Linked DNA regions of Danio rerio. The protein of the gene in region 4 interacts with the protein of the main gene of each other region in a pairwise test. Links are inferred from orthologs where the notes say so. Each region holds a gene or a part of one and is shown on either strand. Other genes may lie near its edges.

The links.
Region 1: the proteins of cep70 (region 4) and znf366 interact in binary tests that used the Homo sapiens proteins (3 or more experiments, as listed by UniProt). The link is inferred for Danio rerio from reciprocal best matches to the Homo sapiens genes CEP70 and ZNF366.
Region 2: the proteins of cep70 (region 4) and sh2d4a interact in binary tests that used the Homo sapiens proteins (3 or more experiments, as listed by UniProt). The link is inferred for Danio rerio from reciprocal best matches to the Homo sapiens genes CEP70 and SH2D4A.
Region 3: the proteins of cep70 (region 4) and sytl5 interact in binary tests that used the Homo sapiens proteins (3 or more experiments, as listed by UniProt). The two-hybrid records come from large-scale screens. The link is inferred for Danio rerio from reciprocal best matches to the Homo sapiens genes CEP70 and SYTL5.
Region 5: the proteins of cep70 (region 4) and enkd1 interact in binary tests that used the Homo sapiens proteins (3 or more experiments, as listed by UniProt). The link is inferred for Danio rerio from reciprocal best matches to the Homo sapiens genes CEP70 and ENKD1.
Region 6: the proteins of cep70 (region 4) and nkapd1 interact in binary tests that used the Homo sapiens proteins (3 or more experiments, as listed by UniProt). The two-hybrid records come from large-scale screens. The link is inferred for Danio rerio from reciprocal best matches to the Homo sapiens genes CEP70 and NKAPD1.
Region 7: the proteins of cep70 (region 4) and ddx6 interact in a two-hybrid assay, tested with the Homo sapiens proteins (2 studies listed by BioGRID and IntAct). The two-hybrid records come from large-scale screens. The link is inferred for Danio rerio from reciprocal best matches to the Homo sapiens genes CEP70 and DDX6.

Annotation. Positions count from the first base shown.
Region 1 is NC_133183.1:1,328,722-1,333,181, reverse strand, and holds the start of znf366 (zinc finger protein 366), read left to right. Parts: upstream 1-1,587; 5' UTR 1,588-1,620; intron 1,621-4,460. UniProt on the Homo sapiens protein: Has transcriptional repression activity. Acts as a corepressor of ESR1; the function seems to involve CTBP1 and histone deacetylases.
Region 2 is NC_133185.1:7,484,066-7,488,517, reverse strand, and holds the start of sh2d4a (SH2 domain-containing protein 4A), read left to right. Parts: upstream 1-1,563; 5' UTR 1,564-1,666; intron 1,667-1,841; exon of another isoform or gene 1,842-1,918; intron 1,919-2,044; 5' UTR 2,045-2,111; intron 2,112-3,671; 5' UTR 3,672-3,770; coding exon 3,771-3,945; intron 3,946-4,452. UniProt on the Homo sapiens protein: Inhibits estrogen-induced cell proliferation by competing with PLCG for binding to ESR1, blocking the effect of estrogen on PLCG and repressing estrogen-induced proliferation. May play a role in T-cell development and function.
Region 3 is NC_133184.1:31,996,972-32,000,966, reverse strand, and holds part of sytl5 (synaptotagmin-like protein 5), read left to right. Parts: intron 1-2,474; coding exon 2,475-2,620; 3' UTR 2,621-3,995. UniProt on the Homo sapiens protein: May act as Rab effector protein and play a role in vesicle trafficking. Binds phospholipids.
Region 4 is NC_133197.1:12,295,038-12,298,451, reverse strand, and holds the end of cep70 (centrosomal protein of 70 kDa), read left to right. Parts: intron 1-1,753; coding exon 1,754-1,833; exon of another isoform or gene 1,834-1,967; coding exon 1,968-2,020; 3' UTR 2,021-2,189; coding exon of another isoform or gene 2,190-2,390; 3' UTR 2,391-2,626; downstream 2,627-3,414. Other genes in the region: mmadhca (metabolism of cobalamin associated Da), read right to left, coding at 2,190-2,390.
Region 5 is NC_133183.1:3,674,551-3,678,545, reverse strand, and holds part of enkd1 (enkurin domain-containing protein 1), read right to left. Parts: intron 2,310-3,995; coding exon 2,178-2,309; intron 2,018-2,177; coding exon 1,875-2,017; intron 1-1,874. UniProt on the Homo sapiens protein: Microtubule-binding protein which regulates microtubule organization and stability. Promotes the stability of astral microtubules and facilitates the proper orientation of the mitotic spindle.
Region 6 is NC_133190.1:24,174,766-24,179,490, forward strand, and holds the start of nkapd1 (uncharacterized protein NKAPD1), read left to right. Parts: upstream 1-1,769; 5' UTR 1,770-1,853; exon of another isoform or gene 1,854-2,151; coding exon of another isoform or gene 2,152-2,254; intron 2,255-2,489; coding exon of another isoform or gene 2,490-2,539; coding exon 2,540-2,608; intron 2,609-2,682; coding exon 2,683-2,759; intron 2,760-2,844; coding exon 2,845-3,000; intron 3,001-3,352; coding exon 3,353-3,406; intron 3,407-4,725.
Region 7 is NC_133193.1:46,828,368-46,832,362, reverse strand, and holds part of ddx6 (probable ATP-dependent RNA helicase DDX6), read left to right. Parts: intron 1-621; coding exon 622-750; intron 751-838; coding exon 839-955; intron 956-1,120; coding exon 1,121-1,184; intron 1,185-1,303; coding exon 1,304-1,405; intron 1,406-3,464; coding exon 3,465-3,640; 3' UTR 3,641-3,649; intron 3,650-3,743; 3' UTR 3,744-3,995.

The DNA.
Region 1 (4,460 bases), on a different chromosome or scaffold from region 4:
GACTCCCTTCAGACTCAACACGCATGATCACGTTCATCAAATTTGCTTAAACTAAGCGTCCTTAAGTATTACTGTATTTCACAAGGATTCTGACACAACATCGCGACGCATACGCTTTCATTGCGTCTAATGAGGAAACACGCAAAACTTGGAGGGCTCATGCTGAAAGGCAGAGTAATGCCCTGTCTTTGACAGCTCGCGACTTCACCAGAGACTTTCTGAGTACATTCACATACGACACCAATACTCCGATTTTAATATGATTAAGATTATACTCTTATGAAAATTCTACCGTGTAGCCTAAGCAGGGCCGGCGCATCCATAGAGGCGACCTAGGCGGCCGCCTAGAGCGGCAGTATAGAGAGGGCGGCATCCGCGACACCTCCCTTACCACCTGCGTCCTCAGTTATGTCCGCGACACCTCCCCCCTCAGATATATTCGCGCATAGACGACAGAATAGAGAAGCCGGCGTAAGCGACACCTCCATCAGCACCTGCATGTCCTCATTTATATCCGCGCATAGGGCGGCAGAATTGAGAGCGCAGTGTCTGCGACACCTCCCTCACTCCCTCCCTCAGCACCCGCGCGTCCTCAGTTATATCTGTGCATAGTGCGCTGGAATAGAGGGCCGCGACACCTCACTTCATTTTCATTACCGGTCACTTTCGTTTTCACATTGGGGTTGAGGGCGGCGTGATCGTCCTCTGCCTAGAGCGGCAGTTCAGCTTGCTCCGGCCCTGAGCCTAAGCAGCGATTTTATTTCCTTAAAGAAACACCGAGTCACGAAATGCGGTGGATTTTCTTTCTGTCGCCAAGTCGAAAGTTAAAAATGAAACACCCGAAATTGCATGAAACTCTGGATAACCTGTGATGCAACTAATTGTTTTATACTGGAACTTGCCTTCAAAAAGTGCTTCCTTGGTCTTATCCACATTTCTTGCATGTTAAACTCACGTCCACCACAACAGGAAGTAAAAAAAAAACCCTGGAACTGCGTTAAAGGCGTAAATTTTTTTAACACGTTAATTATTTAAAATTAATTGCACTAATTTTGACAGCGCTAATATATACACATATTGTTTAGAAAAACTCACTTAATTTTGACTCTTTATTTCTGAAAACAAGGCAATATTTTTTACTTGTCCAGAAAATGCCTCTTGATTTAAGAATTTGTTGATATTTTGAACTAGATAAAACACAAGAAAACAATTTAGTCCACGTCTGTAATTATTTACACACATTTTCATAAGTAAATAAACAGATTTAGAGTTGATTTCAGATTTCTGCACGCGCTCAGATTCCATCTGGGCCTAGTTATGAGTAAAGGTCAAAGGTCATCATCAGAAATCATACGTTCAGTGTCTGATCTGGTCTCTCCAGCGTCAGCTTCAGTGTTTCGAAGAGGAATGGAGATGTGTATCTAGTGTTTCCTTATTTTGGGTCAGGAAAGCACAGGCTTGTTGACTTCCTCTCCCTCCCTTCCTTCCTTCTCTGCGAAGGTACTCATCTGAAAAATGAGAACAAAGTGATTGTTCCTGTTCTCTTTCTTAAGTCACTTCAAATGCGGAGTGTGAAGCTGGAGGCGCGTAGAGAGAGGAGAGACGAGCAGGAGACGACAGGTAAGACACACACACACACACACACACATGCACACTGCAATTACCAATGCACACATGCAAATCTGCATATGATCTGCTCAGAGCATTACATATCACATGCAAAGACAGTTATATGACTTCAAAATGTGAACAGTTCTCATATGAAATTTGAATTCTTTTAAAAAATGTTGTATATAAATATATTTAAAATAAATTGATTGGAGATAAATTTAATTTAATGGTTGTTTGATGGAGAGATTTTGCCAACATATGGATTACTAATTGATTTCTTACTAATTTCTTTTGTTTTCATCATGATGACAGCACAATATTTGACTAGATATTCTTCAAGATTCTAGTATTAAGATTTAAAGAGACATTTAAAGGCTTAACTAGGTTAATTATGTTCATTAGGGTAGTTATTGTGCAACAGTGGTTTGTTCTGCAGACAAGCAAAGTATATATTACTAAAGAGGGTTACAATTATTTCCCTAAAATTATATTAAAATCATCTAACTGCTTTTATTTCAGCCGAACTAAAAGAAAGCACACTTTCTCCAGAGGAAAACACTATATTATAGGAAATATTGTGAACATTTGCTTGGTCTGTTAACCCTTTGACTGCCTCTCTACCAAGCAGCTGAGCGTGTTCTGGCTGTTTTAATTAATTTCAGTAATGGCTGTTTTAAATAATGACACACACAGCATTGTTGGTTTACACACAAAAAAATCAAACAAACATAGTCCTGTTGCACCACTACACTCGATTTTGGTTTTATTGTGAAAGAAGAAGCAAGAAAACATGTTCATTGAGAATCTGAAATATTTTATGGCATACTTTAAGAGGATTTAGTACTCACAAATGTTTTATTTTGAACATTATATCATATTGCACTTTATATTTTATGATTTTTCATATATATTAAGTACTATAAACTGGCATATCTACCATTAGGTAGAGGCTGATATTTTAGAAATTATGGGATGTGCATTGAGTGTGTTAACTACAACATTAGGAGTTAAGAAATGCAATCCAAACATTTTTTTTATTTCAAACATCATTTAAACTGAATAACAATCTTACAGGAGGGCGAATAATTCTGCCTTCAGCTGTTCATGCATCCAAACATTGCTTGGCTTTACATGAAATCTGCATCTTTTATCAATGCAAACATGACGTGATGTGCAAACCGCATAGTGATTTACGAGCATGTGAATTACCTGTTCAATGCTGGTGTTTCTGTCAGATGAGTTAGTTTTCTCTGTTCCAAACTGGAATTTTTTTTATGGCCATAATATATATACAGTGGAGGGCAAAAGGATTTTTCTCAAGCGATATTTACCAGGGCGTCACGGTGGCGCAGTGGGTAGCACAATCGCCTCACAGCAAGAAGGTCGCTGGTTCGAGCCTCGGCTGGGTCAGTTGGTGTTTCTGTGTGGAGTTTGCATGTTCTGCCTGTGTTGGTGTGGGTTTCCTCCGGGTGCTCCGGATTTCACCACATGCGCTATAGGGGAATTGATGAGCTAAATTGGCCATAGTGTATAAGTGTGAATGAGTGTGTATGGGTGTTTCCCAGTGTTGGGTTGCGGCTGGAAGGGCATCCACTGCGTAAAACACATGCTGGATAAGTTGGCGGTTTATGGGACTAAGCCGAAAAGAAAATGAATTAATGATATTAACTGGATTAAGGAAATTTTCGTAGTATTATTTGTTTCGTCTCTTTGGTAAACAGCAGTTTTAAGGACTTTTTAAAGCGCCGTTAATTATAATATCAAGCACCTCTGTAACTCATACCCCAGCATACGCAGTGCCATGAAGGTCCTTACTAGTAATTTAGACTCTTCTTAGTCATTTTTAAACACTGTGCCAATTTAAAGTCATGTTGAAAGAACTTTAATAAAACATGTAGTATTCAATGCGGTTTCTGAAATATTTATCAAATGCGCATTATTTGTTAGTGTTGTTGTACAAGATTTAAATGTATAATGTAACATTTAAATGTTGCCTTACAACAAGAAGGTCGCTGGTTTGATTTCCGGCTGGGTCAGTTGGTGTTTCTGTGTGGAGTTTGCATGTTCTCCCCGTGTTGTTGTGGGTTTCCTCCGGGTGCTCCAGTTTCCCCCACAGTCCAAACACATGCGCTATAGGGGAATTGGGTGAACTAAATTGGCCGTAGTGTGTGTGTGTGTGTGTGAAATAGTGTGTATGGGTGTGTCCCATTGATGGGTTGCAGCTGGAAGGACATTCACTGTGTAAAACATATGCTGGATAAGTTGGTGGTTCATTCTGCAGTGGCAATACCTGATTAGTAAAGTGACTACGCCGAAAAGAAAATAAATGAATGCTAATTAATTAACCTTTAAATGAAATTATTAATGATTAATTTTACTTTTTTTAATTCTGTTTTTGACAGCAGCACAGTATAATTGTTCAAATAACACCAAAAACCTATTTTATTTCAATTGTAATTCTGCCAAATTAAAAAACCTGTGTTTGTTTTTGCGTTTGTTACATGCCTTGAATCCGTACATTTGGAATTCAAGTACATTCAAAAAGTGTGGGGACCCTGATTTTTAAAAAGCATTTTATGGTCAATATTATTAACCCCCTTCAGCAATATTAGTGTTGGATTGTCTCCAGAACAAACCACTGTTATACAATGACTTGCCTAATTACCCTAACTTTACCCTAATTACCCTAGTGAAGCCTTTACATGCCACTTTAAGCTGTATAGAAGTGTCTTGAAGAATATCCAGTCTAACATTATTTGCTGTCATCATGACAAAGAGAAAATAAATCAGTTATTAGAGATGAGTTATTAACACTAGCATGATTAGAAATGTGTCCCTGCGTTAATTAA
Region 2 (4,452 bases), on a different chromosome or scaffold from region 4:
GTCGATATACTTCCTTTGTGATTGACTGTGCCATCGATAGAGTTTCCAAATATTTTCAGAAAGAAAAATCTATCCCCTATAATGTACCAAATAAGTTCAATTGGACAAAGAATCGCTATCCACACCTCACCACTCCTACATCAATGTCAAAACTACTTAACCTGTATTGAGTATATGAAAATATTTTATATGGTTTTTATATTTCAATATTTTTATATATTATATCTTTATATTTAAATAAATAAGTTAAATAATAAATAATTCCATTGACTTAAGTTCAGCTTCTAAATAAATAATGATTGTATCCTCCTCAGACCCAAAGAATGTTCATTCATTCATTCATTTTTTTGTCGGCTCAGTCCCTTTATTAATCCAGGGTCACCACAGCGGAATGAACCGCCAACTTATCCAGCAAGTTTTTCGCAGTGGATGCCCTTCCAGCCGCAACCAATCTCTGGGAAACATCCACACACACACTCATTCACACACACACTTATACACTATGGACAATTTAGTTTAACTAATTCACCTGTACCGCATGTCTTTGGACTGTGGGGAAAACCTACGCGAACGCAGGGAGAACCTGCAAACTCCACACAGAAACGCCAACTGAGCCGAGGCTCAAACCAGCGACCTTCTTGCTGTGAGGCGACAGCACTACCTACTGTGCCACTGCGTCGCCCCAAAGAATGTTTTTTTCTTTTTTTATGTGTGATTTCCTACCTCCTTTGGGTTAAAAAAAATCTACAATTTAGAGTTTTTACATTTTTTACGTTTTGTTTTTATTTTTAATTTTACAGCATGTTCACTGTAGTGGACCACAGGACCATTTTAGTTCAGGCAACAGAAAATTGGATGCTACATGATTCACTGAAACTAAGCAGTTCATAAGAGTTAATTGTTCGAACTATGTGCTGTTTATTTTCATTAATTACGTATATGTTTGTGTCCTTATAATGATTCAGTCCATCTGCCAAGGAAACTGATTTATTAAACACAAAAAATCTCACAATGACAATCTTATTGCACTACACACTGTTAAAATATTACATTACATTATTATTTTTCAGTGGATACAGCATACTGAAACTACATGATTAATATATAAAATGTATGCATAGGCCTCTGAAAGAAAATCAAGAAATTTCAGCCATGTGCGATTTCGGTGGTGGTTTATGACAAGTGCGCCACCTAGTGTGGGTTGTTCGTCACCACTGATATTGCTCAAATCAAGATTTTTAAAATATGCAAATCAGAGGTATTATGAAACTATTTTATCACGCTGTTTATGTACATTAAATTCAACATAAAACAAAACAATGTATGCATGCCAATCTGAAAGGTAACATTAAGATATTGTCAACCCATATGCTATTTCAGTGTTTTTTTATGGACAAGTGCTCTATCTAGTGCGGGTCGTTCGTCACAACTAATCAATATTTGTGTTATTTAATTATGCAATATTGTATTATGAACAGTGCATAATGTATAACGCTCTGTTTATGTACGTTTAATTTAACTTTGAAAAATTGCTTAAAATCACTCAATCTTTAAAATTGTTTCCTATCCGTGTCAGAGGTCATTGAACAACACATTCCACGCTGAGTCTCTGCACTTTTCGCCTTTCACCTGCACTGTGAGGTTTAAAAGAATCTGCTGGACGGATGTAAGCTAAAGCTAGCTACGCTATGTGTAACTAAATATGTATCCAAAATATACCAAAATATACTATATTGCTATAGTAAATGAGTTAGAATTGTGTGGCTGACGGCATTTAAGAGGAACTGCGCGCATGTCTAATAAAGCAAACAAATATAAGAGCGGCACATAAAGCACCTTTCATGCAGCTGAATGTGTCTTTCACACGGAGCCGGAGGAAGAACCAAGTGTAGGAGGGAACTGAGTTTGAGTTTTAAGGGTGTGTTCAACATTACCACTGACTTCACTCGAGAATTACCTTTCTGTACAGGTTTCTCCTAATGTTAGGTGTAGTTCTCAAAGGAATGAAAGGTTATAGTCGGCGTTTTTTTGGGATTGTTTTTAGGTAAGCCACTGAAGTGTTTCTCAAATCCCCATGCGAGTAATGAGTGTGTCAAGACTTGATTAAAGCGGTAAGTTTACCTCTCTCTCTCTCTCTCTCTCTCTCTCTCTCTCTCTCTCTCTCTCTCTCTCTCTCTCTCTCTCTCTCTCTCTCTGCGTGTGTGAGTCATTAGTGCTGGATTTGATCTGGCATTGATTGATTGACTGTTTTGTGTAGCTTCCTGTTGCTTGTTTACATTCTTATATTGTATGTAAAACTTCTGGGTTTGTTCAAATATGATAAATTTGTCTCGAGATTACCAGACATCCGTTTAACAGTTAGACTACACTGTATTCCTATGTTTTTACATTGTGACTTAAGTGTAATTGTGACTTTTGTTTCCAGCATTTCTGAGCTTAAATATCCAAATTTCCCCACAAAAAGGAGTCAGAATTCTGTTTATGCCTTCAGTTATATTTTATCTGACTTTTTACTTGTTCAGTTTTTTACATCTCACAATACTGATTTCTAATTGATATGTATAACAATTCTGTGTTCATCATTTGGTTCCAACAATGGAAATTAAAATGAAGCAGATGTTAAAGCTAATCAATGATTTTTAATGTAGTACATGAGATTCGTCTCATTTTTGTTTTGTTTTCTTATCAAAACCAGAAATATCTTTAAATAATTTTATTAATGTTATTAAAGATTTTAGTGCCTATCAGGTTATAGGATTAATTTCAGTAAAACTAAAGTGATGCCTTTAGGTAGTCTACAAACTAGGGTTGTCGCGATACCATTAATTCATGTTACGATACTATACCAGCTAAAGTATTGTGATACCAAGTAGTATTGTAATGCTGTAATTCATAACTCAAATCTATTAAATAAAGAAAATTGTCAAATATTATATTTTAAAATGTTATAATAGGCCTACTTGAATTGAATTCATAATTCCTTTATTATTAAAAAAAAAATGCCACTTTACCTAAAATGTATTGATTTATTTAGTTTATTTTGTAGATAACTGACCAGCAAAAATACATTAAAATAAAGATACAAAGTATACCAAACGAAATGAGTTGCTAAAAAGCATTTTTTGCAAGAAATTAGGCTAAATGAAGTGGTAAAAAAAATTCTCAACATTTCCTGTTGCTATTTTGTGTTTTTCATCTATTGTTTTTTTTTTTTTTTTTCATCCATTACTTTCCTTCCTTATCTGCAATTGCCTCTCTGGCTCCATCGCTAACTGTATTACAGAAAAAAAAATACTAATGTTTTGCTTCTTACACTTTACATTCCTGAAACTTGCCTACAGCACTTATTCATTGTTGCACTTATAGTTGTGTAAATTGCTTCCTTGTCCTCATTTGTAAATGTAAATGTATTAGTCTTATCAGGTAACAATCCAAAATAATTCAAAATCTTAATCTAGATAAATGCTTAATCCTTATTGGTAGAACCCAAACTAAATCTATCTCCAACTTTTTTCTCTCTCTTTGAGATTTTTTTTTAGCTTTATGTGGTTGAAATGTTTTGTTTATGATGTATTTTTTTCTTTGTTTGTGTAAAGTATCGTAATTTATTTTCTATAACGTTTCGTCTGAGGAAGAACATAAAAGAGTTTGAAATGGTTGTGTTTTTACAGTCCACCTCTCTCAAAGAACAAGAGACACCCCTATTACCCCTCTGCTGACTGAAGATATTTGAGTTCTGTCAAGGTGGTGTTTGTCAGTGACACGGGAAGATGCTGCAGCAGATACTGATCGACATGTACATTGAGCCGGATCTCCTGGCTGAGCTGAACGAGGAACAGAAACAAGTTCTCTTCTTTAAAATGAGAGAAGAACAGATCAGGAGATGGAAAGAAAGAGAGACACAGCTGGAGAAACAGGAAGCCGCACATGCCAAAGCCAAAAAAGGTTTTTATTTCCACAAACATTTTGTCATTAAGATGTGAATAAGCAGTTAAGTTGAGATCTATGCAATGCTGTTTTCTAGCCAAACCTGCAATCATTTGAATTGAAAATACTTTTCTGTTTAAGATCACTGTTTCGTCATATCACACAATAAAGGGACAGTGAAAATAGGGTTGGGCGATGTCGACCAATTTGACATCTTACAGTGTCTAATGTGAAACATCAGGATGAATGATGGGATTGTCGTCGTAGGCTGCGGTGAATTCATTATTTATGAATAATTATTTAATTCATAAAGAATTAATTATTAGTTATTAGCCTACCGTTTCAACTACCTGACCCACATGGTCTTTATTTTACTCATAACCAAATCACAAATAAATAAAATTACACACAAATCACCACCTGTCAATCACTTTTTCCGCAGGACTCTGGCATGAATAGGCTGAGTGATCTGTCTCTGAGGTTTTCGCTAAAATTACTAAGTACAAGCGTGAAAGCGAAAGATTG
Region 3 (3,995 bases), on a different chromosome or scaffold from region 4:
AATATGCTAAAAATGTCAGTTAACAAATCATAATATTATCACGTTTTAGTATTTTACATTTCTTTTAGTTGATGATAACTATCAATATTTGTTTGTTAGGGATTGTAATCTTTTAAATGATAAATAACAATCTATTACCTTCCATATACTAAAGACAAGCAAATATATTTTTTGAATATGTGAATAATAAGAAACAACACTAATTTCGATGCAGTATTACCCACACATTTATTATTAAATTATTAATTAAATTATTAATTTAAAAGTTAATTAATTAATTTAATCATGCAAAAACACGAAAAAAGTATTTATCAGCTCCAAAAGCCAAACACCAAAATATTTTGACAAATTTCATGTTAAATTATTTTTAAAACTTTAGTTTAGTTTAGTTTATAAATTTAGTACAGTTTGAATATGCTTTTTTGTGCTTATTTTTTATTTATTTTGCAAACATATTTCAGATTTTAAATTTGTATGTTTTTGATTTAATATTTCATTTTTATTTCACCTATGTTACAGTTCCTCAATTATAAAAACTTAAATATTAATTAATATAACAACACTTAAAAGTAAGTCATACGAAAATGTTTAAATACTTTAATTAAAAATAATAACAAAAAAACTTTTGAGGAGAAAGAGGGAACTTTATTTACTAAAGTCTACCAAAGTCCATTTCATCCACTTCTTTGCCATAATTTGACTTCCCCTCTGGATATATATTTCCCACATTAATATGCCAGAATTGTCCAGCTTTGATTTGCTGTGAAATGTTCTGTGACTCACATGAATAGAATCATTTGGTCCCAAATGTGTTTGAATCAAATTTCCCCTCTAATGATCTTACTAAACGTCTGCTTAATCTGTCATCAATGATGCATGAAGCATTACTGCGTGCAACACATTCTGTATTCATGCTAAACTAATTTCAAGATGTTTTATTCATATCTTCACTCGCTCATGATCAAGTGGTTTGTTCCTCATGGATGACGATGTTTTAAAATGTTTATAATTAGCAATGGTTTCCATTTCCATTTACCTTCTATCTGTTTCTTTTTGTACTGTACCATTAAGATTTCTTAATATAGTTGACCTCTATTAGGACTTTTAACCTCTTCTTGCGTGAAAAAAAAACTTCTACTAAACTGCAAGACATTTTAAAAGTGGACAGTGATATGTGCGTTTAGTGATAATTCAGACATAACAGTACTATTGCAAGCTGTATTATTTGCCTTCATATATGATCTGAGGAGAATAAGGAGAATTATTTTAAAACAGGGAAACTTGGCTATTTATATAGAAATTTACTGCATGTGTGTATACAATTCTTCTTCTTTCCTTTAAGAATATATATATAGCCAGTTGAAATTTTGGCTGCATTTAATTGTTCAAAAATATTATAAATTTGTCATATTGAATTTTAATTACCATTTTATGTAATTTATTTATATTTTTATTGTTGTTTTTTTCCTCTGATTCTTGTTATTACCAGTGTTGAATTTCTTTCTTTCAAATTTTTGTAGAAATATATAAAATGTATTAATCATTTTCAGGATGCGATCAATGGAAAATTAAAAATAATACAATTTCTTTGAAGTACAAGCAATGTATGGAGTATTAATGTTTTTACTGCTACTATGGAAGAATGTTATATGTTCTTTATGGATAAGTAACTATTTAAAAGAAGATGAAAGCTTACATTGTGAAGAAGCACAACTGTTATATTATACAGGGTGACTCAAAAAGAATACCACAGCTTTGAAAACTGACAACTCTGCAAAGAAGAAAAGGAGAGTTAAGCTCTTTCTGTCCAATGGAATATTGACAGTTGCAAATTCAGCTTTAAATCACAGCAATAAAAAAGGCATTTTATTTCATTCTAAATTTATGTAATATTTCACAACAAAACTGTTTTTATTGTATTTATCAAATACTTTCACACTGATAATAATCAAAAATGTTGACCCCCAAATCAACATATGTGCAAATGATTTCTGGAGAATCATGTGATGCTGACAACGGGATTGATGATAATGAAAATCCAGCTTTGCTATCACATAAATTAATCACATTTTAAAATGTATTATAAAAGAAAACTTTTATTTTAAATTATTAGTTCACATTTTTACTGTTTTGATCAAGTAATAGGAGACTTGGTGAGTTTAACACACACAAACACAAACATACCAGCCAATAAATCATTCACTCTTGTACTAAATGTGTTTTGAAAGCCATTACTTCCAAATAAAACCAACATTTCGTGCATATTTAGTTTTTTGAAGACAAAACGTTTCAATTGTAAAAATGTTTCATGGCCTTTTTGCTATCAATGACAAAAATTGTCTCTTTGCTATCAAAAATTGTGTCACCCAGGTAGCTAATATATGACAGAATTTCTTTCACCATCTGTTGAATTTCCTCCACCATGCGTGTCTGAGAGTGAAGCAGCTCTGCTTTGACCTGTTTGTGGCCTGCAGGTCTGAGTTATGGGAAGGAAGTGGACTGGAACGATGCCTACGGGGAGGAGCAGCGGCTCTGGCAGCGCATGATTGACAACCCTGAGGTTCCTCAAGAGTGCACACTGATGCTGAGATCCAGCATGGCCAGGAGGAAGACGGACTGACAGAAGAAAAGAGTATCCCCGGCAATACTCATCATTCAGCATCTCATCGCCTCTAGACACTTTTAAGTGCTCTTTACGTTCTTGAGCAGTACTCGGACAAACCAGATTCTCATTTCAACGGTACTCATGCACTTCAAATGATCAAAACACATCTGTGGAACATATTAAGGGCCTCTGAGGTCCTGTTTACACCTGGCATTGAGATCCATCTGTTGGTCAACAAAAGGAGTTTTTCTACACACAGGATTATCACATTTGTTAGTGGACTAGTAAGTGTGTATTAAGCATAAAAACAAGATTACATTTGTAATGCAAGCACAAACATAAAGTTTTAGGCAGCATTCATAATTATTTATTTGTATTAAAATACAAAATGATGATTCTGTCATCATTTATTTACCCTCTAAATGGGATAGTTTACCCCAAAATGAAAACTACCTCATCATTTACTTGACCTCATGTGCTTTCAGACCTAATTGAGTTTCTTTCTTTTGTTGGATGCCAAAGAAGATGTTTTGAAAAATGCTTGTTGAGGAAACCCACTGACCTCTGTTGTAAGAAATATATACTATGGAGGTCAATAAGTCCAATCAACCAGGATTATTTAAAAAAGCTTCTTTTGTGTTCAACAGGGGCCGGTTGCACCAGCAGTGCACAAGTTAAAACATAGCCCAGTTGTGACTTAATAGGGCACTAAGTTACAACTTACACATTACTAAATATTTTAGTGTTGCACCACCGAACTTAGGTTAAGCTTAACACTACGTTCTAACTAAATACTTACGGCGGCATCTTGCATGTATAACAGTACAAAAGAGATGACACAAGATTACTATTAGTTTACATAGAGCTCACAATCATAATGAACAATGCTCTCCCTCTATTCACAGCCTAATTTTTCTCCCAAATCTTGCATTTTTTTCGGTTTGTGAAAGAAGACTTTAATTTTCTATCAAGTACCATCATAAGATCCTCGAGCCTGGGACTCCCTCCTGTTTGCAAGGCGAGAAAGGAGTTTGAGCTTTTTACTTATTAGGAGCATGTCTATGTCTATAAAACGTCTATTTGGATTGGGCAGTTGACTTAAGTTGCATGTTTTTGGACGGTGGGAGGAAACCGGGGAACCCAGGGGAAACCCAGGTGAGCTTGGGGAGAACGTGTAAACTCTGCACAGAAACGTTGGCTGGCTTTGTAAGAACTAGAACCAGTGACGTTCCTGATGTGAGGCAACTGTGCCAACCACTGGGCCACCGTGCCACCCATCTGTGAAAGGTGGAGGAGAGGGGGGTGGAAGGGGGGATTCTTCAAAACGAAGATGGTTGTGATATATAACTTAGGGTATTTATTCTGGCTTAGGAATCGTCTAATTGGTAAA
Region 4 (3,414 bases):
AAACGTCAAATACTGTAAACAGTGGTTTGGGTAAGGAAAAGTTTAGTTACTATTAACTAAACTGAACTGTTAGTAAAACATTAACACATGATCCGGTTGAACAGAAAAACAGCAAATTAAAGTAAACATATTAAAATAATCATAACCATTTTTATAATAATCACCAGTTATTTGCTCTTCTGCTTTTGTGTGGGCTTTCTTGGCCTTTGCTACACGGTGAGCTACACAGTAAGATAAGCGGAGTGCCTGTACTTATTTTGAACATGAAGATGTTCGGCACTTTTGTGATTCCCTCAGCCATTGGAGTCGTCTTTGGAAATAGTTCACAGGTTTGTCCTTGCAACTAGGATGTTTGGTTTCTAAATGTCATTTTAATTTAGAAGGTTTCATGCTCTCTTGTGAGATCACCTCACTACAAATAACGCACTGAGGCTTTAAGCCTTTTTTGTCGTCAATATATGTAAATCCACACTTTACATATTCAGGGTTGTACTTGCGCTTTGACATTGTTGCCATAATTAAATGAAATTTCGCATGTCAAACAGTACAGTTGTCGCACGCGCATTTCAAAATAAAAGTCTGATATAAGCAAAATAAGTTAAATTAAACTTTTTTTTTTTATCACACACTCTGCAACCCACCAGTTGAAAAACACTGATCTATGTGACAAAAAGTTGAGTTTTTCTATGTGTTTGTATCACGCATATATATATAAAATACACATTATGTCAAAACAAAACTTTATTTTGGATGTGATTAATCTTTGCCTAGCACTAGTTAATTTACAGATATATATAATTATGAAAAATATGATTCTTTATCATACTATTTTTATTATATATATATTGTTCCTAAATAGAGGTTTTCTCTCTCTCTCTCTCTCTCTCTCTATATATATATATATATATACACTTAAAATATACAAATTTTGTTATATATATATATATATATATATATATATATATATATATATATATATATATATATATATAATTTCTATTTTCTAATGTTTTGTTGCTTTACTTTATGCATTTAATGTTTAAAATAATTGCTAAAAATGTTTTACATTTGATGTCAGAATAAAAAAAAAAAGCCAATATTGTTTACTGCTAATGAAGGACCCTATATAATACTGTATTCATTTTTCATACTACAGTATTAAAGTTGAGAACATGACAGTTTTCGAATACATAGTATGTTAATGAACTGTAATATAAAATGGGCAACACTTTAAAAATAATAGTGCACTAGTGAAAGTTGTGCTTGTTAACATTAGTTAATGACTATGAGTAAACATGAACTACTGTTATTTGGGTTAAATTACATAAACTATTAGTAATGGATTTATTTGGGTATTTATGTTGGTATTTTACCAGTTACTATATATTAACCTTAAATGATAAAATGTGCCAACTTGTATAAACTGATGAAATATTTCTATAGAATAGATTGCATTTTGCTGTGGTGTAATTGACCCAGATGTTGAATTTGCTGTAAAAATGGTTGTTGCTTTTGAAGATTAAAGTAATTAAGTTATGTTTTTGTAAGCAATTACACATCATGAAATAAAATATTACATTAAGATTCAAAAGAAACAGCCATTTTACATAAAGTGACAGCTATTTCAACATCAGGGTCAAAAACACTACAGCAATGTAATCTATGGAAGTGCACTTGCTTCTGAATCTGAATCTGAATGAATTCACCCTCATCTTTTGGCAAAACATAACCGTGTTGTTGTTGTTTTTGACAGCATCATCCTGAAGCTGAAGGAACATGAGGAGTTTTTCCCCGCTTTCCACTCGTTCATGCTGGAGCTTCTGCAAACTCTGGGTGAGAAATAAACTTTATTCATTCAAAACATCAGACCACATACAAAATGAGCTGAATTGATCACAGTGCAGACGCATTGTGCGTCTCGAACTGATAAAAATAATAATAAATTCATAAACGTTTCTCTCTTTCAGACGTCCAAACTCTAGACGACGTTTTACCAAGAATCCGTTCTCTCAAAGGCTGATGTTTGTAAAGCACCGTGTGGTTTTAGACCTGACTATTTATTTAAAAACTACTTGATTCTCAGTGTTTGTATTTTATAAATAAATCTGTGCCGACAGCAGCAGTTTGTCATAAAACCTCTCATATATATTAATAAGAAACAGTCTTTTTTTTTTTTTAAAGATGTGTGTTCAGTCTCCGTCCTCTGTGTGTCCTTGAAGTTTCTCCATGATCAGACTGTTTGAAGGTGCGTTAGTGATTAACGTGAGCACAAATGTGCCCTTTAAAACATGTCGTATGACCGTACAGGATGCCAGATCCTCGATGTGAAAGCCAGCGTGATGCTGAACGTCCTGCTGGAGAATTGAGTCCGGCGTCTGAACTGCGAAAAACTGCGGGAAAACAAACATTGTAAGCAGTGCTGGGTAAAATGAGCTCAAAAGTAGCTAAATTACTTATCCACTGAAAAAGTAATGGGATTACCTTTTAAAAATGTGAACTTTGTTTTGATACAATTAGCATTTAAGTCCTTTTTGCAGTGATCGTCTATATCACTAAAGAATGGTGTGTGTGTTTTGTTTTATTAAAATGCTTAAGTATTACATTTTTAATAAAGCTAAAGACCATGTTTGACTTGTAGTTGACTCATTATTTTTCAGTAATTAGAAGTTAAGTTGTAAGCTAAATAAATGATAAGACTGTTTCTCAACCATGTTCCTGGGGAACCACCAGTGCTGCCCATTTAGTTACCTTAACCAAACACCTGATTTAGATCGTCAGCACATTAGCAGAGTCTGAAAGGCGTGTGATGAGTGTGACAAAGGAGACATCCAAAACATCCAGTGCTGGTGATCCTCCAGGAACATGGTTGAGAAACACTGCTGTAGATAATGCTTTGATTTGCAATCAGGTTGATGAAAACATCCTAATACTGGGTGTAAACAGGGCTGAAGTGAACACATGGTGTTTTATTTAGTGTCTTCATGATCAGATTGACAGCATGTTTTAGTATGTGGTGTAAATGGGTTGAAAGTGGACAAATCTAAAGCAAGTCATATTCTGTTCACTCCTGTATTTAGTGTGGCTCAGATTTACAAAAAGAGATCAAAATATCTAATGTAAACATGGACAAAAATAATGTAGTTTACAATTTGGTTGTTGTCAATCTAATCAGGCAGACGACACTAAACATGCTTGCTAATACTAGGTCTGAACAGGGAAAAATTGAAAAATCTAAACAATTTACACAGATATTTATTGGTACAAAAATCTAACTCGATGTGTTTTAGATTGTACCTGCAATTTTCCAAAAACACATTCACTATCCAGTGTGAACTCAAAATGATTCTTATGTTGTGTACACGTATTTAGCATCGTCCAGGACCACAGAAATGAATATTGCGTGAGGCAATGTTG
Region 5 (3,995 bases), on a different chromosome or scaffold from region 4:
ACAGCCACCTTCGGTTTGACGAACCCCCCTTTCACCCCTACCTCTTCACCTTTCCCTTTATAGGGTGGCACGGTGGCCCAGTGGTTAGCACTGTTGCCTCACAGCAAGAATGTCACCGGTTGTAGTCTTTTAAAAGGGCAGCGGTCGTTTATGTGCGTAGTTTGCATGCTCTTCCTGTGCTCGTGTGGATTTTCCCCGGGTTCTCCGGTTTCCTCCCACATTCTAAAAACATGCACAACAAGTGAATTGATCAATCTAAGGGTGCTTGCACATCTGTAGTTCGCTTCATTTGGTCTGCACCAAGGGCAATAAATGATACATTGTTGCATTTTCTGCCGTCGTTTTCTGTGTGTTTTCACACCACGCTGCTGGCTTTGGTCCGAACCAGTTGGAACAAACCAAAATGCAGTCATCTGATAAAATCCACTTTCTCATTGGCCAGATGTTGTTGAACATATTTCCTAAACTGCGTATCGATTGGTCAGAATTCATGTGCGGGAAAAAGCCAATGAACTCCCACAAGTAAACAAAACCAGCAGACACAAAATGTAGCTTTTTAATGGAGGGACGACTGCGCTGACTGATTGTATCCCTGCTTTAGACAAACTATACATTTTAAGAATGAAGCGCGGCCGCGGCTGGAAAACAGTGTTTTAATGCATCGCACGTCACTTCAGGAGGAGGCGTGAATTAATTTAGCTAAACTGCGACATGCTCATCTTGCGGAAATATTACCAACGATCCATCAGGTAATGTTTTCCCTCTCTCTCTCTTTCTTGGTAAAGCGCTGTCAACAAATATTTTTCCTCTATATCCCATAATGCACAGCGCATCGGCCTACGGCAGCTGACTTAGTCCGAAAGGCGCAGTACTTTTTGCGGTTGGACCTGTTTTAGTACGAATCAAATTCTCACCACAAATGAACCGCTCCAGGGTTCATTTGAAAGCATACCAAGAACACCTCTTCAAGCAGGTCTCAGTACGCTTATTTGGTCCGCTTTTGGTGCGCACTCGAGTACGATTGCTGCATTCTCACCTGCCCAAACGAACCGCACCAAAAGGGAAAACGAACTCTAGTGCGATTCAATCAAACTAAATAAGGCAGGTGTGAAAGCACCCTAAATTTAGCACTAAAGTCAATCTCTCATCCTGCAGCAATTCTCTTCATAGCATTCATTTCAGTCATCAGCTCTTATCAAGGAAGGAGTTGTCGAGATCTACCTGAGCTCAAGGCTCCCCTCTCGCCCTGCAAACGGGAGGGAGCCCAGGGCTCAAGGACCTTTTGAGCTCAGGGCTCTCTCCCGGGACAGCATGCCAAACTTGCTTATAATCAATCATCAGCTAAGTGTGAACTCTTGAAAGAACAGATTGATGCAGCTTCTCCTATCGCAGCAAATTCCGTTTTTACTGTTGATACTTGGCGCCAGTTAATCAGGAAGTGTTTTGTTTGCTTTGACTCGTTAGAAGGTAATGCTGCTTTATTCGCATGACTTTAATGTGATAATCCAGTTTTGCACATAAAGTTCATTCGCATTTTTGGATGGAAACAGCTATTGACTTGCCTAATTAACCCAACTTTACCCTAATTAACCTAGTTAAGCCTTTAAATGTCACTTTAAGCTGAATACTAGCATCTTGAAGAATATCAAGTCAAGTATTATGTGCTGTCATCATGGCAAAGACAAAAGAAATCAGTTATAAGAAATGAGTTAAAACTATTATAATTAGAAATGTGCTGAAAACATCTTCTCAGTAAAACAGAAATTGGTGAATGAAATATACAGGGGGGCGAATAATACTGACTTCAACCATGTATCTGAGAAAAACAAAGTATAGTAATGTCAGTTATTCCAATATTGTGTAACTTCACTCACTATGGCGGCACTTTGCCCTTGACGGCGCAGGCTGGTGTTTTGTCCTGCAGGTTCTGTAAGGACTGAGATCTCCTCATGCTGGTCTTCGCCGCAGCTCGAGCGTTATGACTCACAAAGTCCACTGTGTGTCCTCTCACATGCATCTGGACACACATCAACACACACACAGACCTCTGTTACGCAACACTGTCTGCAGGAGTGTGAATGAAGTGTTTGTGAGTGTAAGTGTGTGCTGAGTTAGTGTGTGTGTGTGTGTGTGTGTGTGTGTGTGTGTGTGTGTGTGTGTGTGTGTGTGTTTCTGACCTCAGAGTCTGAGTCTCCAGCAGCGGTCGGTCCACTGTCTGAGCGCCGCAGCACCGGTCGACCCCCGGCTCCACACACTGAATGAGCCTTCAGGAAGTTCTGATATTCAGGCTTCTTTAAGGGGCTTGTTTCCTGCACACACAAACACACACACACACACACACACACACACACTCTTACAGCTATCTTATTTTCATAGACATAAGGATGTTTCTACTGTACAGACTGTATATTCTCTCCTCCTGCCCTTAAACCAGCCCTCATTGGAAACAATCTGCATCTATGAGCCGTTTTATTCATATAGGGACCAAAAATGTCCCCACAAAGTCAATTTGTACTGGTATTACTATAATAATAATAATAATAATACATTTTATTTATAACGCGCTTATCTAAAACCCAAAGCGCTCACACACACACACACACACACACACACACACACACACAAAAACAAACATGATCACATGTAAAAACACAGTCAATCATACATTTGCACACACACACATACACACACTCAAACACACACACTTAAACAAAAGAACATTATCACAGATGTGCCCTCACCACACACACATACAAAAACAAACACATATAAAAACACATTCACACACACACACATTTAAACACATACACATGCACAAAAACACTCACACACACATAATGCTTGTGCAAATGCAAATGCTTGTGTGTCATTATAGTGGCAGATTTAAGACTTATATCCTATGCTAATGAGGAAGAGATGGTCACTAGTGGGCGGGGCTTTCCCACTCTGATGACATGTACAAAGAGAAAATGTCAATCAAAGTGTTTCTGTTTTTATCGAGAGGGATTATAAACAATAAAATGAATAAATTTTTACCATTAGAAGCTGCTTATATTCATACACTGCTGACACACAACTGTGTTTAAACCTCTTATGAAAGTAAGTTTTACATAATAGGTCTCCTTTAAACTTCTAATTCATTATAAAGTCCCTATACATGTTTCTTTATTTAACCAGATAAAAACCCATTGAGATCAAGATCTCATTTACAAGGGTGACCTGGCCAAGAGGTCTGCATCACATGATTTATATAAAAAAAAGAAAAAAATTTAATAATATTAATAATAAATAGAAAATTAATATAATATAAAAATACAGTTCAGTTTTCCAGCTTTACCACATTTCAGTATATTAAAAACACATGCATTGAGAAATGGACTGTTGTTGTTTGTTAAAAAGAATAGAGTGAAACGATGTCATTGGGATGAGCTCAGATATCTTTACTTCAGACTGAAGAGTATTTTAGGATGAGTGGGCGGCATGACTAAAGGCTCGCTTTCCTATTTCAGTTCGAACCCGGGGAACAATCAAATTATAAGATTCACTTGAGCGTAGGGCATGCTTTCTTTTAGACTTATGGAGAAGGGAACATAGGTATGAAGGCACCAGTCCCAGAAGAGCCTTGTAGACCAGAGTCATCCAGTGGGTGTACCTTCTTACACACAGAGAAGGCCACTCAGCTTTAGCGTACAATTCACGATGATGAGTAAGTCTTTGACAGCCTGTAACAAACCTTAGCGCACTATGGAGTTTAAAGGCTGAAGACATTTGTTTGAAGCATGCATATATAAAACATCACCATAGTCAATAAATGGTAAAAATGTTGCAGACACCAAATGTTTACGAGCTTTAAGAGAAAAGCAGGATGCATTTCGATAGTAAAATCCGAGCTTAACTCTCAATTTTCTAACCAAATTTGCTATGTGTTCTTTGAAAGAAAGCTCCTGATCGAGTAGAAAGCCTAAATTCTTATAGCTGGACACTAAATTTGGGGG
Region 6 (4,725 bases), on a different chromosome or scaffold from region 4:
TATCTTGAAAAATATCTAGTAAAATATTATTTACTGTCATCATGGCAAAGATAAAATAAATCAGTTATTAGAAATGAGTTATTAAAACAATTATGTTTAGAAATGTGTTGAAAAATATATTCTCTCCCTTAAACAGAAATAGGGGGAACAAACAGGGGGCCTAATAATTCTGACTTCAACTGTATATCATTATCGTTCAATTTGGAAAATAGTTAATTTTGATTGCATTTTTGCCACATCCCCCAGCCCTATACCTTCATGTATGTTTTATTAAAAAGCTACAAATTTTAAGTTAGAGTATTTTCCATACATTAAATGCTGATTAACAATTTAAAGCTTATTGGTATAAGCAATCTTTCATTTTGACAACCATTTTGACAAATGCAAATTACATTTACGGTTACAAAGTACAAATTATATGGATTGCAAGAGTAGATTTGTGTAATATTGGAATTGGGGTTGAAAATTATTTTTATAAAAACTGATGGTCTGTTTTAAGATGCAACCCAAGGCAATAAAAGAAAAAAATAATCAAAGAGTATAATGGTAATATGGTATAATATATAGGGACAGTAGAAGGGTTGTGAAGGGTTGACTTTTCTGGCCCTAAAATAATCATAAGCCTTATCCCTGAGCCCCAGTGACCAAATGTTGCAAGATATTATTGTGTCTCCTGTCATTGTCATTTCCACAACACCCTATTATTTCTATTACCATTTTTTAAATATATTTTATTATTTCTCATCACATATTAAAAAATATCCACAATTGATATTATTACACAATTCTATTTAATATAAAAAATTTATTTATTTATTTATTTATTTATTTATTTATTTTCTAATGAGTTTTTACCTAAACTAATATTACATTTCAGAATGTGACAATAATTCAGCATTTGGTCACTGGGGAAGTAAATTTAATTTATTGACAAAATGTATGTTGAGGGCAGTGCGGTGGGGCAGTGGGTAGCGCTGTTGACAGTAAAAAGGTCTCTGGTTCAAGCCTCGGCTGGGTCAGTTTCTGTTTGGAGATTGTTCTCCCCGTGTTTGCGTGAGTTTCCTCCAAGTCCTCCGGCTTCCTCCACAGTCGCTATAGGTGAATTAGGTGAGCCAAAAGTGTCCATGTGTGTGAATAGGTGTGTATGGGTGTCTTCCAGTGAAGGGTTGCAGCTGGAAGAGCATCCTTTGCGTAAAAACATATGCTGGATAAGTTGGTGGTTCATTCTGCTGTGGCGACCCCAGATTAATAAATGGACTAAGCTGAAAAGAAAATGAATAAATGAATGAATGAATAAATATTGTACACTGACTGTAAAAATACTGTAAAATTAGTTATAAAATTGATCAGTTCTTGAGTGGTATTGACTGAGTTATTCAATTGTTAAATAACCGCTGTGTTTTGAGATGTGATGGAAATGACATATGTTCAAATAGTTGGAATTAATGTGAAATATTAACAATTTCTCTTGTAATCTAAGTTTTTCCTCTTACAGATCTTAAGCCTAGACATATTAACTAAACTTATGAGACTGTAGGTGACTTTTGAACAAGTTTTTTTTAATAAACGTCAGTGGCCCTAGTTGAAGAAAAGCCTGTGTTTGAGTGCGCTAGTGTGTAAAATTATGGGCCTATTCTGAATTTTATACAAAATGTTTGTTTTCAGACAAGTTTTCTTAAAAACATTCCTTGATTAATCTGATAAATAGTCCTTTTATTGTGAAATACGTTTTGAGACTTTTATTTTAAAGTAACCTGCGGATGTAGTGCAGGAAGTTGATACGTTCTGTTTGTTGTTTTGGTGCCACGTTCACGTCTCTCACTACATTTAAAAATATATTGAATAAGCGAAAGGTCAGTTCTCACGTTACTCCTTTTAAAAAACACCATTTTGCTTGGTCGTTACAATTTTAGGGCTAACTTAAACGTTTAACGAAATGAATCTTTCGAGCTAAGGGTTCTTGGCCAGCAGGAAAACGTTAGAGGAAGTGATGCTAATGTCAGTAAAGCTCCTAACAGTTATATTTATTGGACAAAGCATGCAAAGACTAATGTTTATTTTAGTACACTATCTTTGGGTTTTGTATTGGTAAATTAACCAATAAGATCAGCCTGTGTTTGTTTGGATTCACAGGCACTGCTGCTTATTGAAATGCTTGAACAGAATACACACACACACAGACACACACACACAGATATATATATATATATATATATATATATATATATATATATATATATATATATATATATTTGTACTATATATAGAAAAAAGGAAGTGTGTTTGTGTGTGTGTGTGTGTGTGTGTATACATATATATATATATATATATATATATATATATATATATATATATATATATATATGTATATATATATGTATATATATATATATATATATATATATATATATATATATATATATATGTATATATATATATATATATATATATATGTATGTATGTATATTCTGTACAAGTATTTCAATAAGCTGTGCCTTACATACACTTCGTGTTTAAACCCTTTTTCCTAGGTGTATCCATGTCAAAGGTGTCTTTAGGTAAACTTCTACTCCGAAATGTCATCAGACACACAGATGCACATAACAAGGTATGTGACAATTTAAACACAATATTTCATAATTATGTAATCTGAAAGTCATCTGATTCAACTTAAAACTGCAGATTCAAGAGGAGTCTGAGATGTGGAAGTTGAGGGATCTTGAACGACATACCTCGTCCACTCATTTCCCAAAGCACAGGTGGATCACATGCGGCTCAACATTTCTTTTATTTGTGCTCACGGTGTGTGTTTCTCAGTAGTTGTAATGTGTAATGGTCATTTAGGGGCAGCATGCATTGTGACCGCTATTTGGACGACTCAGAAGGGTCAACGAGAGACCGGCTGGGTGAGCGGAGAGACGATGTATCTGAGAGAGATGAGAGGGAGGCACGATACTGGACACGCAAACTGTATGAGTTTGAAGCCAATGATCCTGACAGGTAGTGCTGGTTGGTGTTGTGCTCGTCATGTTTGAACTGTTTTGTACACTGTAAAACCCAATAAGTTAAGGTAACTCAAACCATTTGAGAAATCCGATTGCAACAATCCATTTAAGTACAAAAACTAATCCTAATGAGTACTGTGAACTTAATCCACTTGAGTAAACGCCGCAATTTCAGCGCAGTAAAACCCAATAAATTAAGTGAACTCAAACCGACTGAGTACTGTAAAAGCCAATAGATTAAGGCAGCTCAAACTGCTTGAGGAAACTACAAACCATTCGAGTTAAACTAATCTATTTGAGTACTGTGAACATTGTAACAAAAGGCATAACATGTTGTGTTCTCTCAGGTGGGGCCACAGTGGCTTTAAGGAGCTTTATCCAGAAGAATTTCATACAGACAGGTAAGAAGAAGCTCTTCTTCCACCCTTGAGTGAATGTTTAGCATATTGTTGTAGGTTTTGAGCAAGGTTGGAGAAAGTATGTGGTATTTAACAGCGAAATTGAACATTTATAGATTGAGGGAAAGTTGCCTTTTTATTTGCACATTTTTCAGTGATAGCTAGACATGGGATGATAACCGTTTTCAAGGTATACCATGGTTTGGAAAAGTCAATGTTTTAAACCTGCCAACATTTTCTGCTACAATTTTAAGAATTAAAAAAAAAATATATATATTTATTTATTTTATTTTTTTATGTTTTGTTGTAATTTTTAGGACAAAAGTTTCCAGCAGAAAAGATCTCCAAAATCTCCTAACCCTTTTCAAGTTGTAAAGAAATCTGTGTTTTCGAAACTATGAATGAACAATGAACAAATGAAGGCATCAGAAGTCAATGATTCGTTTGAATTGTTTAACCTGACATGTTTATTGCTCAAAAATATTGTAAATCACAGTAATCACAATACAGAGAAACCGTGATATTTTTATCCAAGTTTATCACACCATTAGAATCTTATACCAGCCCATACCTAGAGACAGCTTGTGACAAGCTATCTATATTATTAAAAAAACTTTTTTCTGTTGGATATCACATGCAAATGTGACTTCAAAACAACATTAGTATTGTTTATTTGACTGTAAACAATGTTGTACTTTGATAGTCATTGGCTGCTAATATGATTTCACTGTTTAGAATTTGTAAAGAATACTTGTTTGAAATTATATTATTAAGGAGAAAGTCAGAATGTGCGAATATAAAACCAACTGTACTTCAACCATTTATAGATGTTTGCATTAACAATTCCTAACTATAACAAAGTTTCACCCCATCAGATGATTCTTCAGCTTCACTTGAAGTTTAAAATGTATTGTTTCCTTGTACCAATATCTATGTACATTTTAACTGCTATACAGTGTAACCATCATTACCAATCTTGTTAATAGACAGGTTCCTGTTATAAAATCACATTTTATTCTTAAAATAAACTATTAAAGAGAATATATTTTATTTATACATTGTGTAATTTTAATTCATTTATTTATAAAGTTTAATCCAGAGAAAAAAAACATTGCCACCATCAAATGAAAATGTTTTTAAAAAGTTATAAAACCGTTACTCTAAAGTTGTTACAGAATTTTTATTATTCACCAAATATATATATATATATATATATATATATATATATATATATATATATATATATATATATTAAAATTTAAAAAAGCAGTCATGTTTTAATCATTACTCAGTACATATATACAATGCTGTACAACTATAAT
Region 7 (3,995 bases), on a different chromosome or scaffold from region 4:
TAATCTTCATCGTTTTATGAGACGTTTTCCTGCATTCAAACCCAAGTGATTTTTCACTGGCGTCAAGCAGAAGACTATGCAAAATCACTCCTTGACGTCTGATGGCGCTACACAACTTTAAGCTTCTGACACCCGCTTAAACGGAAGAAGAGGAGGAGAGGAAGTTCACACGCTTGTTAAAGTTACTGGTGACTCGGACAAGCATGGATGGTTTAAGCGGCAGCTCTAGCGATGAAGAAATTATTATTATTCACAAGAGCAGTAAGAAGCTAAACTTTCATATCACCTCTGGGCATCTTCTTTAATGTGCTTCCTATTGACAGTTTTGCGCTTGAGCGCCTCCAAGTGCTGTTTACTGTAACTTCAGCAGCTCCGTGCACATGAGCAAAAGTGCCAATCTGATTGGTAAAGAAGGTTTTGACGCAGCGCTTTCACATCCTGAATAAAAAAAAATAAAATAAAAAAATACTTGTCAATCTGTAATTAAAATAACATGTTGCTTTAGTTTTGTTACACAACACACTTTTTTTTCATTCTTTTGGCCATAAAGAAATGTTGCATGTAATTGTACCATCATTAGATTTCAGAAGTGATTAATGCACCCTTTGTTTTTGTGAACAGAACTCCCATCTCCAGAAGCCCTATGAGATAAACCTGATGGAGGAGCTGACCCTGAAGGGGGTTACTCAGTATTATGCCTATGTGACTGAAAGGCAGAAAGTCCATTGCCTTAATACTCTATTCTCTAGGGTAAAAGCACTTTGCATTCTCATCTGATCCATTACTACTGACCATTTAAGAACAGGCAGATCTGATCTTTTTAATGTTTTCGCTTCAGCTCCAAATCAATCAGTCTATAATCTTCTGCAATTCGTCCCAGCGAGTGGAACTCCTGGCTAAAAAGATCTCACAGCTTGGGTACTCCTGTTTCTACATTCATGCCAAGATGAGGCAGGTGCGTATAAAGAGGGCATGTGGTGTGACTGCACTGCTGTTGGCACAATTCTGAAACGGAGCAAGTGTTTGTGATTTCTGAAATGTGTATGGAATTTCAAATGATTTGGGGCTTTTGTGTCTTGTGATTTTTGCCAACATGTTTCTATTTATTTAAATTTTTTAGGAACACAGAAACCGCGTGTTCCATGATTTCAGAAACGGCTTATGTCGAAATCTCGTCTGCACTGGTAAGGACCATTGAATATCAGTGTTTGCTTAATATCATAGTTATTAAATCATAGTTTAAGCATGCATTTTCTTTGGCTTGTTTGTATGAGTTTTTTTGAATCATGTAAACTTTTATTAGATCTCTTCACGAGAGGAATTGATATTCAAGCTGTGAATGTGGTGATCAACTTCGATTTTCCCAAACTCGGGGAGACGTACCTTCATCGCATTGGCAGATCTGGTGAGTAGGGTTTAGTTTCGATCTCTCCCCCCTAGGTCCTGTTTACTTTCACAAGTAGACGGCAGTAAATGTATTTACAAAAAATACTTTTTTTAATTAAATTTTTTTTTTTTTTTTTAAGAGCGGTAGTCAAACCTGTTTGAGCAGATTGGTTTCTGCAAGTAGATGCTAGATGCATTCTGACTGCTGAGACCTGCGTTTGTTTTTGGCGTATGATTTGGATCATATTTTATATTTAAAGTTTGTGTGCTTCCACCCAGACAGCAATAGTTTTGACATGTTTATTGTTATTGAAAAGTTCTTAAAAAAAAAAAAAAAAAAAACACTCTCAACTGATCATATGCCTTTATGCTCAGATCATAAATATATGATGTTGCCTAAACACTTGAAAGGTAGTTTGCAACCAAAATCTCTACATTAACACCTTTTAATAACCTGCTGAATGCAAACCAATCAGGCTTCAAATGTAGACATTCCACTGAGACTGCACTACTGTCACTGAAGCCCTGCGGATTGCCAAAGCCGGTGCTAAATCCTCTCTTCTGCTTATACTGGACTGGTCTGCTGCTTTTGAAATGATAATGATTCATCAGATTCTGCTGTCCACCCTCTCATCAATGAGCATCGCTGGAATCCCACTCTGCTGGTTGTAGTCTCATCTCATCAGCAGATCATTCAGAGTTACCTGGAGAGGAGAGACATCTAAGGTTCATCAGGTGGTCACTTGAGTACCTCAGGGATCTGTTCTTGGTCCAGTTCCATTTTCTATTTACACCATTACTAGGAACCATCATCCAATCACATGGTTTTCTCATTGCTATGCCAATGAAACCAAGCTCTTACTTTCCTTTCTTCCTGATGACCCAACGATAGCTGCAAGGATCTCGCACTGCCTAGAGGATATCTTGGCTTGGATGAAAGACCATCACCACCAAATTCTTGTCTTCCCTGCCACTCCACACATTCAATAAAAATTTTCAATCCAACTGGAATAATCTGTGGATTAACCTGTGTAATTTAGCAAAGATTCTTGGGGTGATCCTGGATGATTAGCTGCCCTTCAAAGAGTACCTCCTCCTGCTCCTGAAGGCCTGCATCCCCTCCAGGAGCCTTAGGTTAGTGAGTGAGCACTGCCTTGTGGTACCATAGCAGAGAGGCTATAAGTCAATTTTCAAAACCTTTTCATTCACTGTTCCTCACTGGTGTGCTCTTCCCATTCCCACACAGACTGCTGATTCACTACTATTTAAGCAACAACTAGAAATCAATCTCTCAATCTCCTTCGGGAGAGAAGAGGGGGTTCTGTTTTTGTTCACACCTCACCACAAGACATTCTTAAAAATCGTATCAATTCTGAGTGCAACTCTCGCAGGTGAGTGGGCTTAAAAAAACCATGTGTAGAAAACACAAGATTCTCGTTCCCTGGTAATATTTCAATATAACCACTCAAGGCATATGGTCTGTTTGAGGAATGTTTATTTGTTTTTATTTATTGTTGATCCATCTGCCTATGGCAGATATGGGTGCTCAGATTTCACCTTTTAAATATCTTAATTTCCGTTCCACTAATTTTCCATATCGAATATTATCCCAACAGTGACTGAAGCCACAAAAAATAAATTATGGCACATTTTTGGTAGCTGAAGATTCGGTACTTCTCTAATGTCCACTTTTTTTTTTTTTTTTTTTAGATTACTGTTGTTGCACATTTCTGCTTGGCTCTTAGTTTGCTAAAGAGTAAAACTTCCAGATTTTATCATTGTTTATCACAAACTTTATCACAATTCGATATCATTCATCAGCCAAGCCCTAATCTCCGTTGAATACTTTTCTGAAAGTGATGTATAGAGTGAGAAGGTAATTGGTGTCAACCAATCCAAACACAAAATGAAAACGTATCATAAATGACCGCCTGGTTGTATTAATAAACACTAATGTTAATATGAGATGTCAACTGGACCTGAGAACTTAAGTTCACATCTTATATCTTGCTGTTTGACTGGCTAGGTTTTTGAAGAAGAATCTGTGTAAATGATAATTGCCTTTTTGTCCTTCTCAGGCCGATTTGGACACTTGGGTCTTGCCATTAACTTGATCACTTATGATGACCGCTTTAACCTGAAAGGTATTGAAGAACAGCTGGGTACTGAAATCAAGCCCATTCCCAGCAGTATTGACAAGAGTCTATATGTGGCCGAGTACCACAGTGAGAGCGGAGAGGAGGTTAAACTGTGAGCAGGAGAGGTGAGTTCAGAGCTAGGATGAGTCAGCATTTGTCATGCATACATGTTTGATATTAACTTCTTTTTTTTTTTTTCTCCCCCCCCACTCCTTCCAGATCACCAATCCTTTGTCCCCTATCCCACCCTTTTCGTTCCCTACTGTGTCTAGGGAATAGGGGACTTTTTTTTTCTTTTTTTTCCCCCCTCCTTTCAACTATATCTTATTTCTGTCTTCCTCTACTCCCACCTCCCTCTTTTTTTCGTTTTCTTTTTTTCTCTCCTGTCTTGTGCCACCACAAGGAATGTCGTGTCGATGGCCCAATATTCGGGAAGGACTCATGGCCCACTAAAGGACTGCTATACCAATA